Linked DNA regions of Bombyx mori. The protein of the gene in region 3 interacts with the protein of the main gene of each other region in a pairwise test. Links are inferred from orthologs where the notes say so. Each region holds a gene or a part of one and is shown on either strand. Other genes may lie near its edges.

What was found.
Region 1: the proteins of cyclin-C (region 3) and Cdc2 interact in binary tests that used the Drosophila melanogaster proteins (3 or more experiments, as listed by UniProt). The link is inferred for Bombyx mori from reciprocal best matches to the Drosophila melanogaster genes CycC and Cdk1.
Region 2: the proteins of cyclin-C (region 3) and cyclin-dependent kinase 14 interact in a two-hybrid assay, tested with the Drosophila melanogaster proteins (2 studies listed by BioGRID). The link is inferred for Bombyx mori from reciprocal best matches to the Drosophila melanogaster genes CycC and Eip63E.
Region 4: the proteins of cyclin-C (region 3) and cyclin dependent kinase 5 interact in binary tests that used the Drosophila melanogaster proteins (3 or more experiments, as listed by UniProt). The link is inferred for Bombyx mori from reciprocal best matches to the Drosophila melanogaster genes CycC and Cdk5.

What each region holds. Positions count from the first base shown.
Region 1 is NC_085122.1:10,044,307-10,047,106, forward strand, and holds the end of Cdc2 (cell division cycle 2), read right to left. Parts: intron 2,664-2,800; coding exon 2,561-2,663; intron 1,891-2,560; coding exon 1,687-1,890; 3' UTR 683-1,686; downstream 1-682. UniProt on the Drosophila melanogaster protein: Plays a key role in the control of the eukaryotic cell cycle. Required for entry into S-phase and mitosis.
Region 2 is NC_085117.1:9,232,662-9,236,412, forward strand, and holds part of cyclin-dependent kinase 14, read right to left. Parts: intron 999-3,751; coding exon 796-998; intron 1-795.
Region 3 is NC_085121.1:11,205,373-11,209,725, forward strand, and holds the start of cyclin-C, read left to right. Parts: upstream 1-1,341; 5' UTR 1,342-2,629; coding exon 2,630-3,220; intron 3,221-3,301; coding exon 3,302-3,394; intron 3,395-3,500; coding exon 3,501-3,623; 3' UTR 3,624-4,353. UniProt on the Drosophila melanogaster protein: Component of the Mediator complex, a coactivator involved in regulated gene transcription of nearly all RNA polymerase II-dependent genes.
Region 4 is NC_085125.1:9,569,087-9,573,290, forward strand, and holds cyclin dependent kinase 5, read right to left. Parts: upstream 2,807-4,204; 5' UTR 2,797-2,806; coding exon 2,139-2,796; intron 728-2,138; coding exon 489-727; 3' UTR 445-488; downstream 1-444. UniProt on the Drosophila melanogaster protein: Probably involved in the control of the cell cycle. Interacts with D1 and D3-type G1 cyclins. Possible regulator of neuronal differentiation and/or development.

The DNA.
Region 1 (2,800 bases), on a different chromosome or scaffold from region 3:
TACACATTCCATTACATATAATTAAAAATAAAATTAACTTATGAGCGGTCCAGAGAAATTGGCAAAAACTTAAGAAAATAATATTACATTTGTTTCTTGTCAAAAGTTTATCAAAACGTCTTTTTTCATATTATTTATTAAAACACCCACACGTCAAACATGTAATATATATATATCAATTAAATAAATAATTATGCTTTACTATTAAAAACAAACTGTTTACAATTATTTTAGAAGAAAAAGAAACACGTTGTTGGTATTAGATATTAATTGAAGAGATTTAAAACAATTTCAATTTATAATTCTGTTATACTAAAGAAATATTTGCAGTACAACCTATTGATCTTATGTATTTATTTATTTAGATGACATAATAGTGTATGAAGAACATGAATTGGACAGATAATTAAGTTTAAATTAATTAAGTTTCCATGAAAATACATATAAAATACTTCTCATGTCACACGATGTTTCAACAGCATACAGAACAATATAGTTAAACTTATCTCCAAATGCATTACTAATAAATGTATGTAAAAACCGTTCAGAGTCCTATAGTTTGTTGAAAACAGTTTGATACGCCGGGAGTTTGCACAGCGAATAGTTTGAAAAATAATAATTTTCAAAAATGATTTTATTCGAATGGGACTTATAATCCTATAAATCACATTTGCCGCATATCAAACTATATTTAACAAACTATTATGATCATCACAAGCTCCAGAATATTTCTTTGAAGGCGTGAATGATAATACTGCAAGTTTTATATATTATTAAACAGGTATTTTAGTCGAAAGGAACCCTTATCCAAATCCAAAGTTAGTTTGTAATGATAATTAAACTATTGTGGTTAGTTTTTTATGCACTAAGTTTACTGCTTTAGCCTTTGGTGTCTGAGGTTATTAAGCATTTCAGCGTTCGTAAAAACTTATTAAACAGTTCAATGAAGACAACTATTTGGCAGTAATATTATTACAGAAGAAATAATTAAATACTATCCTATAACATAAGTCGAACATGACAAAACGACACAAAGATGTATACACGACACGATTAGACAACGAGAATTAATTTATTCAAGGTTAATTAACTATCAATAATTCTCAAATTAGTGTTAAGGTAATGAACGAAACCAACATTCAAAGTTAAAACTATGAAGGTTTGTACAACTTCGAACAAACTATGACACGTTTTTCTATAATAATCAAACAATAATTTTCTATGGTCACTATTTAAAACCTAGTGACTTGATTTAAAAATTAAGCTCTTCGCCGAAATAGCTTTAAAATAACTCACATCTATTCATTTATTCTCGACGGTTTAAAATCCCAACTTCACAGACACACAAATTCATTAAAAAGCCTTTACGTAAATTATTTAAGTTCAAAGCTTTAACTAAATTACGTCTCGCGTTTACTAGTCTTAGTTTTTCAATAATCTGAATTGACTAATTTAATTTTTAGATCAAATTCGATAAAATAAAGTACATTTAAATATTAAGGTTCTACTATAAGGAGATTGGATGCGAATTGTGGAGAATACAGTATAGAGAACATACCTCAAATCTCTCAAATTAAAATGCAATGATTGCGACAGAGGAGCCCAACTGAGTTGTACTTTGTATTCGTTCTGAAAATATATTTGTAGTCTTTATAAATGACACCTAGTTCTAATGATTCGTGTCTCCTATACACTTTGAACAGAATCCGTGTCGTATGGGTATTCTGGCGTCACTCTGATGTAAGCGTCGTGCACTGTCAGTCCGGGAGGTAGTTTCACGTCTCTAAAGTACTTGTGTCGTCGCGCGTCCTTCGCGGATATTCTTTTAACCGGATCGTAGACTAACATCTTTTGTAACAAATCCATGCCCACTTCGTCTAGGTTTTGTACCTGTAAAAAATGCACGTTACAATTGACGGTAGGAAGAAAAGATTTAACTCAGTCACGTCATTGATAATAACTAGTATAATATAATATAGCTTAAATGGTGTTGGGGAGTCTTGTAAGTCCGCACGAGCAGTAACGTATTCTGGTTTGAATGACGAGACAACTATTGTACTGTAAAACTGGGACTCAGAACTTATGTTCCAAGATGGGTGGCGGCATTTGTGTCGTTAATGACATGAATAAATGCTGTTTATTAGATTCCGTTACCGTTATTATAGGTGGGCCACATGCTCAATCACAAGTCTGAGCGATAAAGAAAGTGAAGAAAGATAGTTTTGATATGAGGTCGAAGTTTCAATATAAATCACATAAGAGCTGTCCCATCTTACAAACTGGAACGCATAAGTGCTTCACGACAGAAACAGGACATCAAAGTCCAGAATAAATATATTAAAAAAACATTATACAACACACACACACACACACACACAAAACTTTTAACAGCTGGTTCTGCTAAAATAAACTTTCACTAAAATCCCAAGGGAATATCTTGGCTAGCTGGAGTAGTGTCACTCATTATGTAATAGAATTCAATTAGTTTTTCATATATCTGGAAATATCTCAAGAACAATAGACATATAAAAATCTAAAATAAAATATGCTTCATACGTACATGATTGTGCAGATTGTACGTGTTCCAGTTCGGGAAGGTTGGCTTGTAGTCTGGTAGGAGAGAAACACCAGGCCATATCTCTTCTGTTGGCGTTCTTAGCATTCTGTTAATAAATTAAGAGATCTTGTGATTTAAATAGTTACTAATAAGAAAAAGTGTACTCCAGCAGATACCATATACATTGATCATAAACGAAATTGGAAAATGAGTCAGAAAAATTAACTCAAAAAAAATTGGGAG
Region 2 (3,751 bases), on a different chromosome or scaffold from region 3:
GTCTATATAAAGATTGGCTCACTATAACGTTTTTTATGTTAAACAAATTTGTTCCAAAATAAAGCATTATTTGTGAACTATTTCACGCGGACGAAGTTGCGGGCTAAAGCTATTGAAGTATAATTTTGTTGACAGGAACTTTATACGGATTATTTCTAAGTTTCTTTATTATTATTTTTCTTTTCTGTTTTTCCTTTTTTTTTTTCTAATTTTGTTTTTGTTTTCAATTTCCAATTTTGTTTCTATGAACAAATAATATTGGCATTTTGTATTATATTTTCAGGTATGCCAATATCGGGACCATTTAGTTGATTAATAAAGAAAAAAGAAAAAATCTCCAATTGTGTTTGTTCAATATGAATTTTTGAATAAATCACAAAGAAACAATTCACAACGGAGTTTTAAACACTCCTCGAAGACTTTGTCAAGTGTTCTACTTTTTTATACTCCTTTTGTAATAATTTATTTTCAAATTACATGTTTGAATCAAAAGTTTAAGATAATTGGAAGAGGAATTCAAATAGGGATTACTGAATTAATGAATTACGTAATATAAGTGTCTATTAAGATTGAATGATTGGGATGCAGCAGAGGTACGTGCTTTGCTATATTGTAATTTGCGTAATTACTATACAATTGAGATAATAGACCTCAAGTCTCAAGGTCTGTGGTGGCATTCAGGTTATTATGTGTATGGACTCCGACTTGATACGTGGGTCGTGGGCTCGTTCATCCGTCTGCGCAATTAATAAATAAATATGTTGAAATCGTGATGGATGTAGGAATGCTACTAACCCCAAAGGCACTAAATCGCTTGGTGCGTCTACTGGACTGCTCGTGAGGCCCGAGGAACGCTTCACTCTTGGGTCTGGGAGGTCGCTTCGGCCTCATGACAACTCGCGCCTCCTCCCTCGCACCTTCGTCCAGGAGCTTCGAATCTGAAGAGACCGACAACTGTCTTCGGACACGGTATTCACCGTTGCCACCTTCGCTCCACTCTACAACAAAATATAAACGTGTCAAAACGGCATAACATTTGACCCATTACATAAGTCTTATTTCTTTTTAAAATAAATTCAAAACCTAAAACGTCAATCAACTAACAAGCAAACTCATGTGGTTCTTTTTTGCATAACAAATCCCCCTCAAGCGTAAACTCACTTGAAGAACGCTCACAGAGAAGCCACCCACCCTCGAAAACATTAAATAATATTCGTTTGCGTAAATAACTTGAGCAATATAATATTTTCTAATGTTTCCTTTATAAATTTTGTTTGAGAGGCAATTTAATGTTTTTTGACAATTTCCTCGGCTCCCCTTTTACATTTCATGCTCGAATTTAAACGTAGCAAATTTACATGGCTTCTACCTACTTATAGCATTCGCGATACGAACGTTGTTGCTTTGCAATGCAAACAACCACTGAGAGCTTCGCGATTGACAGAATGAGGATCCTCGTGGAATGTCTCCAGCAAGCACTTAGTGAGCAAATTAATGAACGAAATAATAAAAATGTTACTTTGGAACGACGCCGTTTGAAGAAATCGTTTTGAGCGGCATCGGTATTCCAATATTCGAGGAGCACTCGAGGAAGCGTGTTAGCGTTACAAAGGTTCGATATCGCGACGGGTAGGTACGTCAATGCGAACGCGAAACGAATAAATCATTCCCGAACAACAAATCCGTAGATGACGGAACAAATCGATCACGAACACAATTTATCTTTTAGATTAACGAGGAAATGGAAGAATTAACGGTGAATGTTAATCGATGACTGCCGTTTACTTAAAACTTGTTTGCATTTGATTCGGATGTCATATTCTCTTGTCAAATTGTAAATGATTATTTAGTTTTTACTGGTGGTAGGACCTCTTGTGAGTCCGCGCGGGTAGGTACCACCACCCTGCCTATTTCTGCCGTGAAGCAGTAATGCATTTGTAGCCGTTGTAACTATACTTGAGACCTTAGAACTTATATCTCAAGGGTGGCATGGTAAATGCACGTCGTAGATCTCTATGGGCTCCAGTAACCACTTAACACCAGGTGGGCTGTGAGCTCGTCCACCTATCTAAGCAATAAAAAAAAAGATCATTAAGTATGATCGGTCGGTACGGTCTATCTGTGTATACAGATGCCTTACTAAGAATAAGTAGGTCAGAGGGTGGTTACGGGTGTGTTGCTACTTCCCTCGTAAAGGGACTCTAAAAGACCACGGGGCGCCACACTAATTTTATTGCTTAAATTCCCATCCTCGCTTTTTTTTTTAATAATTCCGTACAAATATTGAATGCGACACAATCATTCAGTTACAAAATGCGAATTGGGTTAAACATGAATGTTTCATTAAAAGTTTGGATCGTTTGTTTGTTTCCTGTTCAAACGTATACAATATAACCTGTACCGAAATTTCAACAATTGCGCATGACATATGTGGTTAGTCGGCAACCTTACTTTTTGTTAAAAGGACTGTACAGTATACGTACTAATCCTTACTAGAAGTCCCGCAGTAGTCGAAATTCGACTATAATTAATTGGAATTGTAAGTTTGTACACTATTATGATTGTATTTTATACTTCTATAATCACAAATTTCGCCAAGACTACACTATAAAAAATATTAACAGAGACAAACCATATTCTATTCTCAATTTGACAACAGACGTCAAGAACAAAAGTTTGACAATAAATAGTATGCATGCGTGTGTGCGTCAAATACATGGTATGTAGTGTGTGTAATGTTTTCTTTATTGATTTAATGTATCTTTTAGTCATTATTTAAAAAAAATATTAGCATTGTGCACTTCTTCTCTATATTCTCCATAAGTGTGGAAAATTTCATACTCCTCCGTCCGCGCAATTTTCGTAAAAAGGGATACAAAGTTTTTGCTTCCCGTATTAATATATGGATAATATATGTAGATAATTTCAGTCCCGAGTATTCCAAATGTCATACAAGGTAACAGTTATAATGTATTAAGAATATATAAGCCACGTCAAGTAACCATTTTACCTTTATATCATGAATACTTAGGGGAGCAGTGTCGTGTACACAAAATGATCGCGTTTTATGATTACAGCCGTTTCATAGCCGCTGGATGCATTACATATTGGTGTATTAAATTTTCTGTCATTTTTCACGAAACGCGGGACATAAATGTTTTACTGTGTAGTAAATTTCCTTGTTATTATGACCGCGCCTTTGCATTACGAGAATGTATGTATGATTAATACTGACAAGTCGTCTTTCGTCCTGACGGGTGCTGTAATTGCCGTAAAAACGTAATTGTTCTATAGTCGGTTCGATTAATGAATGTTACACATTCACACATATTGTATCTGTCCCAAACTCTTTTTCTCTCAAAAAAAAAACTCATAAAAATTTAATGAAAAATGTTTAATTGCCATCAAAGGACACCAACATTCCAGGGGGCGATCCATGTCGCTACATACCGCAAAATGCTCTCCTGAAACTGAGGAGTATACGTCTCTTTCCACTTGCTAGAAGGATTATCGTTTTTCGTATAAACGTGCGGGTATATAATGGGCACTACGAAATGGAAAACTATGCTCTAGTTTTACCGATTTCAAATACAAGTCAGTCGCCACTTCTATTTCAATAAGTCTTATAGTTGTGTATTGGATTAGAGAACCCGACTGAATATCCAACTTGTTTTTTTTATATCATCAATTGATCAATAAGTGTAGGTTAAATTCATATTAATTGCTACTTTTCAAAATGCCTACCAGTATA
Region 3 (4,353 bases):
ACTTAGCAAATATATTCCACAGTTAATCTAAATAATTGCAAATAATGCTTTTGAAGATCGTTGACTTTTGATCATTAATTAAAATCATCTTCTCGTAGAATTTACAAAAGCTCATTTACAAAAATTTATATCAGTATTTTCATATATTACTAACTTACTAATTACAACTATTCAAAACGTAATAGTATAACTATAAGAACTAAACAACCTATTTTAAAACAAAATTGGCATCAATTTAGTTCTTATGAACTATTTCAATTATTAATTTATAAATTATAAACATATTTAAAAAAAATTAAGATCCCTTGTGAGTTCACATTCCTTGCTGAATCAGTTTCTCTTCTGAAACGGAGAAACAAAGTATCTTAAGTATGTAACAAATATTGAAAAAATACGACCATGAAAAATTTAGTGTTAATGTAATCATACTTACAAATTAATATATTACATAACACGTTCTGGTTCAAATATAGTGCATCAATCTTTTCATGTTTCAGACATTTTAGTGCTCCTTATAATTTTTCCATAAAATTTTGTCATTATCAAACCTTTGTCTACAAAAATAAAAACATTATTTTATATTGGGTAGAAGGATGAACGTGGTCACAGGCCACTTGGTGTAACTTGGTTATCAAACACCAGGAAACAAAATGTGAATGCCATCATTTAACTTTGGATGTGAGATCAATTGTGCTGTATTTTATTTAAACAGGAAAGCATGACTATCAATCAGTCATGCTTTCCTGTTTATTCCATTCCAAAAAACTAGTTCGGGCCCACTTGACAATAAGCATATAATACGCTGAGTTGCAAAACATAAATACTTCCACCCACTCGAGACAATTTTATTATCTGAGGTGTGTGTGTGATAGTACGAGACTTAACACCGACTGTTTTGATCAAACTTAACATATATGATAGCTAGGCAGCAGAAATAGGAAGGACCATTAGTTGGTGCTAATTCATTTAATTATATTATGAATAATAATTCTGTTAGCAAATAATATACCGGGAAAATAGTGTAAACTCACCGTTATCAAGGCATCCGAAATAGCATTTCATTTTCGATCTTCGAGGCATGCTGATTTTTAATAATAAACTTTCTGTAAGAAACGAAAATAGTTACACAGGCTTACGAAACGCTAACGAAGAAAAAAGTATTGGAACCAAGTTATGTCTAAAGAGAATTCAAAACAGAGTTTCTCAATGTCTAATCGTCTAATATTCTCATAAAGCTAAAAGATGCTCTAAATTAATACTACAACGTAAAATAACTCACACCAAGACAAAAAAAAAACGATTTAAAAAATTAAATCGTTACGACATTTTGAAAACGTTTTTTTTTTTTTTTGAGATTGTTTTACGGCCCTGGAATTTTGAAAACTTCAAAGCAGTGTTTCCACTTACGTTTTTTTAAACACATTTTACCCTAGTTTCTTTTGAATTTATCCCTAAAATTTCCTAGACAACTTTCATAAATCCTTTATATAGAAAGTATAAATAAAATACAGAAAATAAACCACAGCATATTATTTAATGTAGGTATATATAATATAAACGCCCCCAGAAGATCATAGATATATAGGATTAGAATTTTCAAGGAAGTCGACGCATTGCTTTTATATTCTTTTGCTGCACGCAACCTAACACTGTTCGGTTCTAAAATTGAGCAATTGTTTGCTGGCAAAGTTGGGAACTTTCTATGAAGCAAGCCGTTCAGGGTTTCATTAGAAAGCCTGTTTCTTTTGTCAGTTTTTACATTTGAGAACACTGAATTATCTTTCCACCTCAGTCTTTGAAGAAGGAACTGCTAGCAAAAGTGAAATGACAATTACAAGGTTTTCGTAAATGAAATTACCATGATAATCTTTCATGGTACATGAAGTACCTGTATATTACAATACAAGTAAGTTCTGGTGACATCAACGAAAATAGGTAAATAAAAGTTTGGCGGATTATACTTATTGGGATTCTGGGGAATCCCTAAGAAAAAAGCAGTGGCTTAATCTATAATTTACTTTACTAGAGGGTTACTGTTGAATCAAACCTTCTTTATAGTTTTTATACACAACTCTGTTTTATTCTTTTACTTGTCAACTCGACTTAATGTCATTCTCTCTCCATAAAATAAAATGTTCATTGTTTTACTTTAATTATCGTTTATTTTAAAATTCACAACAGTTACTAGTATAGGCTTTGCTTTTTACCCCGAACTATCCTAAATCCTGGTATTTTTTAAATTGTCTTTATCATCCAAAATATCAGCTATTTTTCCCTAAAAAAGGGAGAATTCCCTAAAAGTGGAAGCACTGCTTCAAAGTACGCTAACCTTTTTTATTGAGTCAGAACTCGTACCTGCCATCTAGTGAGTTTATTAGATCATTAAGGCCAAAACGTTTCAAAAATGACCTCGCCGGTTCCTAAAGATGACGCTAGTTGAATGTTCTTTTCCTTTGTATGGGAGTTGCACCCCCCTGGTTATGCATACATATTACTAAAATACACAGTTTCAAAAGTTTCATAGAATAGGAATGGATGGAAAAATGTTAAATTTGTAAAAAAAGTATGTTTTTTTGATAAATCAAAATTTACCAAATTTTAATAATTATTGTGTTTTGCCTTTGAAGAAATGGCTGGAAATTTTTGGCAAAGCTCACATCATCAACAATGGATACTCGATAAGCAAGAGCTAAGGCGCGATCGCCAGTTTGATTTGAATATTTTATCAGAAGAAGAATACCAAAAAGTATTTAATTTTTTTGCTAGTATAATTCAAGTTTTAGGCGAACAACTTAAACTTCGTCAGCAAGTAATCGCAACTGCAACAGTTTACTTTAAAAGATTTTATGCAAGGAACTCTTTGAAGTGTATTGATCCACTTCTTTTGGCACCAACATGCGTATTTCTTGCATCTAAAGTTGAAGAATTTGGTGTTATATCCAATTCCAGATTAATAACAACCTGCCAGACAGTTATAAAAAATAAGTTTAGTTATGCTTATGGACAACAAGAGTTCCCGTACAGGACAAATCACATTCTGGAGTGTGAATTTTATTTACTAGAAAATTTAGATTGTTGTTTAATTGTATACCAACCATATAGACCATTACTACTTTTTGTCCAAGACATAGGACAAGATGATCAACTTCTGACATACGCTTGGAGAATAGTAAACGATTCCTTGAGAACAGATGTTAGTTTGTTGTACCCACCCTATCAGGTATGATTTATGTAATGCAAATAGTCACATTTCATTTTTTATTCATAAAACTTTTCATTGCCATTATATTTTGAATTACAGATTGCAATTGGTGCCTTACAAATAGCATGTGTGATGCTTGGTAAAGACAATCTCAAACCTTGGTTTGCTGAGCTAAATGTTGACATGGATAAAGTGAGAAATATACTTGAATATATATTAAAATTAAAAAAAATATGGTTATTGTGTGGTTGTATTACAAAACTTCTGAAACTACTCATTTAAAAATTCAAATTTACAGATCCAAGAAATTGTGAGAGCTATCATTAACCTTTATGAGATGTGGAAAAGTTATGATGAAAAAAAAGAAATACAAGGGCTATTGTCCAAGATGCCCAAACCAAAGCCAGCTCCCCAGAGATAGCAAGACATATTTTGTAGTATGGATTTGTATAATGGATATATAATTTTTAATTGTAGACATGAAAAATTTGTTTTTAATTCCCTAGGAAAAGAAATTACTATTTTTGATGAGGTCACTTATATTTCAAGTGATTTTTATGAATTTTTTCAACCATAAACAAATACAGTGTAGAGCACACTTTAGAGCATAAATTAAAAGAACAAGAACTAAGTTATTTAATTTTCCATCACAAGCCAAAGATACTCTCTTTATTGGTTGTTATGTGATTTAAGACTATTGTATCCTATTGTAGCCTTTAGACACAAAAGTAAATTATTCCTTTATTTCAAGTTTAATGTTTAAATAATGTCATTGTATTGCTATGCTGCCCAATAACATTGTTCATATAAGTAAACTGACAAAGATAAGTAAGATGACAAAAGCTAAAGAAAAAAGGCAATTCTAATGAATTTAGTCTTATCTGTCTGCATGTTTTTGAGCATTGATACTTCATTCATTAACTGTGTTGCATTTGTTCACATTTTACAACATTTGTCAACATTAACAATTTTGAACATTGAAAATGAGGTGGATCCTTTAAATAGATATATATGTATAAATTACTATTGGTTACACATTTCAGGTTAAAACTTATTAGCAATTCAGGGAATAATTATGTCATGTATAGTCAAAGTATGATTGGTGAAATTGTACATTGAGCACTTTATGCAGTGGCTGAATTCAATAGACG
Region 4 (4,204 bases), on a different chromosome or scaffold from region 3:
TAAATATGTAGTCAGCTATCTGACTCTACATTTTCATTGCTAAATATAAATAAGTTTCATTTTAACAATCAATTTTGTTTTGTTTCAAAGTGCATTTATGTTTTACGCATCAATATTATACTTAATATTTATATGTTTTTACTTTTTAATTCATCATTTCATCTTTCATATTACACATTATTAAAGTCCATTTGTAAACCATTTGTTCATAAAGTTAACTTCATTTTAATTTAGGACATTTCAGTAATAATTATAAAATCGATTAAAAATATCACTAGTAGCCAAATACTGGAACCTTATCAATATAATTTGAAACATAACAATTCCCAATATTATGGTATTTAAAATTACTTGGTAAAAATACAGTATTTGGCAGTACTTTTCTTAAAATCTAATTAAGTCTCATCCTCACAACACTCTTCTATTTCATCATAGTTCTTTTCACAATAAATAAGTTCTGACGTACATTTGTACGGATGGATTGATTGTTAACATCGATCATTCTTGACTGACGGATTGAGATCGTGGAAATACGCATGCGCCATTGCATCATCAGCTGGCATTCTTAAAGCTGGATTGCAGGTGAGCAGCCGAGCGAGTAGATCTCGACCTCTAGCCGGCAATCTTGGTACAACTTGGGCGAGGCCTAAACTTGGCTGATAAACAGGCAAAGGTTTGTAGTCCGGCAGTTGAGTTACTCCAGGCCATGTGTCCTCATTGGGTGTACCTGATAAGTAAACATAGTTTGATTGAAAAAGGATAACTGACAGATTAATACACCCATACAATACCAGTGACACACTTCCTATTTGTATGTCAATGAATAAGTCTTTGCAAATGGCACAATATTTACAATGCAAGAGCTTTGATGTAATTTTCCTAGACAAATCTATATATTTTTACTAAAAATATGTAAAAGTTAACTATTATTTTGTAACACTTCAGTACACTCTGTAGGCATTTTTATAAATACTATGTTTACCGTAAGTTTCTGAAATGCAGAAGAAGAAATCTTATGATGGCAGAAAATTATATTCATTTGCTAATTAAAGTATTTATGATATATATATAGAAGGGGTCTGCAATATGACTCAGCAAAAAAATTAAATAACAACACAAAATTTGAAACATGAGTCGACTATTATCAAAGGCGGCAATCTGACTTTTTGACAATGATTGGTAAATCAGAAAAACGAATTATTGACTTTGTATTCCATTGGCAGTCACAAAACTCTTCGGAACGACATCTTAGATAAATAACAGGTTAACTATTAACCTTTATTTAATGCAGGTTTTGAACCGTATTCTTTGAAGGAGACGATTATATTCAAATAAATCTGTATTGACATATCAATAAAAAAAATTTGTCCAAATGTACAGATTGCCACCTTTGATAATAGACGACTCACATGTTCAAACTTTAATGGTATAATATGTATTTTTTAGTTTAATATGGTACATGATGTCATGATTGACTATTTTAGTAAAAAAAATGATTTATTATTTAAATGCCGAAGTGTTCATCAATTACAATAAGTTATAGGAAAGGAAACACTATTCCTACTTAATGACATTGTTCGACCGTGAGTGTTGGGATTAACATTCTTATATTATTTTGTACTTGGAGGACTAGGCTAACAACTTTTGTCAGGCCGGTAATCTTTATGCCAACCCATAGATTGTTTCTAACTTTTTTATGCAGAATCTGCAATCTAATAGGGGGTTGACTAGAAAATAGTATGTGTGGAATTATCAGACAGCTGTTTACTAAGCCCCCAACAGAATAAAGTAGCAATGGTGATATGGTATATTGTAAGCCTACTCTCTAGTTTGTTGGGAGAGTTAAAATTCAATAAATTTATTTTACATATTGTTATAATCTGTCCGATCCTTTAAATAAGGCATCAATCAGACATAATCATAGTTCTTACTTTTGCATAATTATATGCAGTTAATGTTGGTATTAAGCTCAGAGACTCGGCCATTCAAATTTAATTTAAGATCTAAACCAGTTTTGTGATATGACTTTTTATTGTCACCAAGAGCCCTTATGTGGTTTTCAATATAAAATCATAATTAGGCTTCCTAAATTCAGAATAGAGTAATAAAACTTTGGAGATTTATTATGATGAACTCACCTAAAAGCTTAAAAATCCTCTTTAATTGATCATCAACATCTGAACCTGGGAATAGCGGTCTGCCCGAATTTGCAAGTTCTGCAAATATACATCCAGCAGACCACATATCAATGCTTGTTGTGTACAACTTAGCACCAAATAATACATCAGGAGGCCGGTACCATAAGGTTACAACTTCAGCGGAATAGCACTTTACTGGTATGCCAAAAGCTCTGGCCAGACCAAAATCAGCTAACTTTAATTCACCGTTCTTGTTTATTAAGAGATTCTGTGGCTTCAAGTCCCTATGGAGAACGTTGTGGCTGTGACAAAAAGCTAGTCCTCGAAGTAATTGATACATGAATGATTTCACAACATCTAGATCTATTTCTCCATTCAAACTATCGAAGTATTTTTTTAAGTCTTGATCACAATGTTCAAACACTAGGGTTAATTTCTTTTCGCTGTGCAATACATCGTAAAGTCGCACTATATTTTTATGCTTTAATTCTTTGAGAAGACATATTTCACGAAGAGCGGAAGATGGTACTCCTTCATCGTCGTCGTCTAATCTAACACGTTTGAGCGCTACGATTTCGTGTGTTTCTTTATTCTTGGCTTTAAATACCGTACCATAGGTTCCTTCACCGATTTTTTCAAGTTTCTCATATTTTTGCATATTTTTGAACTACAGATTTACTCACTTTAGTTCGATCGATTGTTTTTAATTTAGACTGACTTATATTAAGTGTATAATCTATGGACTGACTGATTTTTGAGTAGTTGTTCTATTTTTCCAACCGGACAGGCACAGGTATCTTACTATACAGCCTACGCTTTTGATATATATTTTTTGAATAATGATAATATGAAGTGAAATTAAATGAATTTGATTAATTTGGAACGTTAATCACTTGACATGAAATGAAATTAAATGAGATGAGATAGTATGGGGTGAAATATAATCTCAGTAAAAAGTTGATTGTTTACTGAGACTTTTTTGTGGACTTTTTGGAAGATCCCGAGAAGCTACGTCCAGCGACTTTGTTTTATTTTCCCATATTTGTGTACTTTTACAGATACTAAACAGTTAATAAGCCACGATTAATCACACACTACCACATTTAAACCTGAAGAAACACTAAATATACAGAATAAAACAATTCACACAACTTCACTCCTCGCATTCCTGCTAAAAAGTCCTCTGTCTTATTAGTACATACTACATGTTGGAGTTTGAATATGAAAGTAATGGCCGGCAACAGTTGACACATGTAAGGTTACAGTTTCGAATATTGGAATTATTTTAAAAGTCTAAAATAAATAATTGTGTTCTCGTCAGTGAAGACAACGACTTCTCATCTAGACACGGTCAGAGCAACATCTAAGAGTTTTATAAAAAATAAAACATTGTAATAATGTTATAGTGTACAAAGTGTTTGCAATATAATTATATTAACCATGAAGCAGAGTGTTTTTAAATAGCCCCTCATCAACCTACAGAACCCAATCCCCTCAAATTTCACCGTCCAACACTACATACAACTATCTTATAAATCTACATATTATTATGCATGTGAAGGGCCGTCAAACATTCATTCGCAAACTTAGCAGCTGTGCAAATGGGTTCGGTAGTCAATTCGCGAACCCGTTTGCGCTTCCTCCTACACTTGTTTACGAATGTCTCACGAATTTCTCCTCCTTTTTAATTCGTCAATAGACATTGAAGAGAAAAAGAGTTTTGAATTCTTTCCCAGACATCATTAACAGCCATGCTGTTTTTATGGGATTTCTTTTGATGAAGATACGTTACACAGTAGACGTCACGAACTATGAAAATGACGATACGTCCGTTACCTTCGTAATCGTCGGCGCAACTGGGCAAACGAATGTGTGGGAGACTACGCGAAGGCTCGCGGTTCGCGCGCTTTGATGTCTGTTAAAAAACCGACACAGCTTGGAAAACCACGAATGTAGCGAAAACTTTGCATAATCATTTGCAAATGTCGTCCTACACTTGCGGGTTTGCGTATTCGTGCGCATGTGAGTGACCGGTGTTATAAACGTGCAAGGAAATCATAGTATTA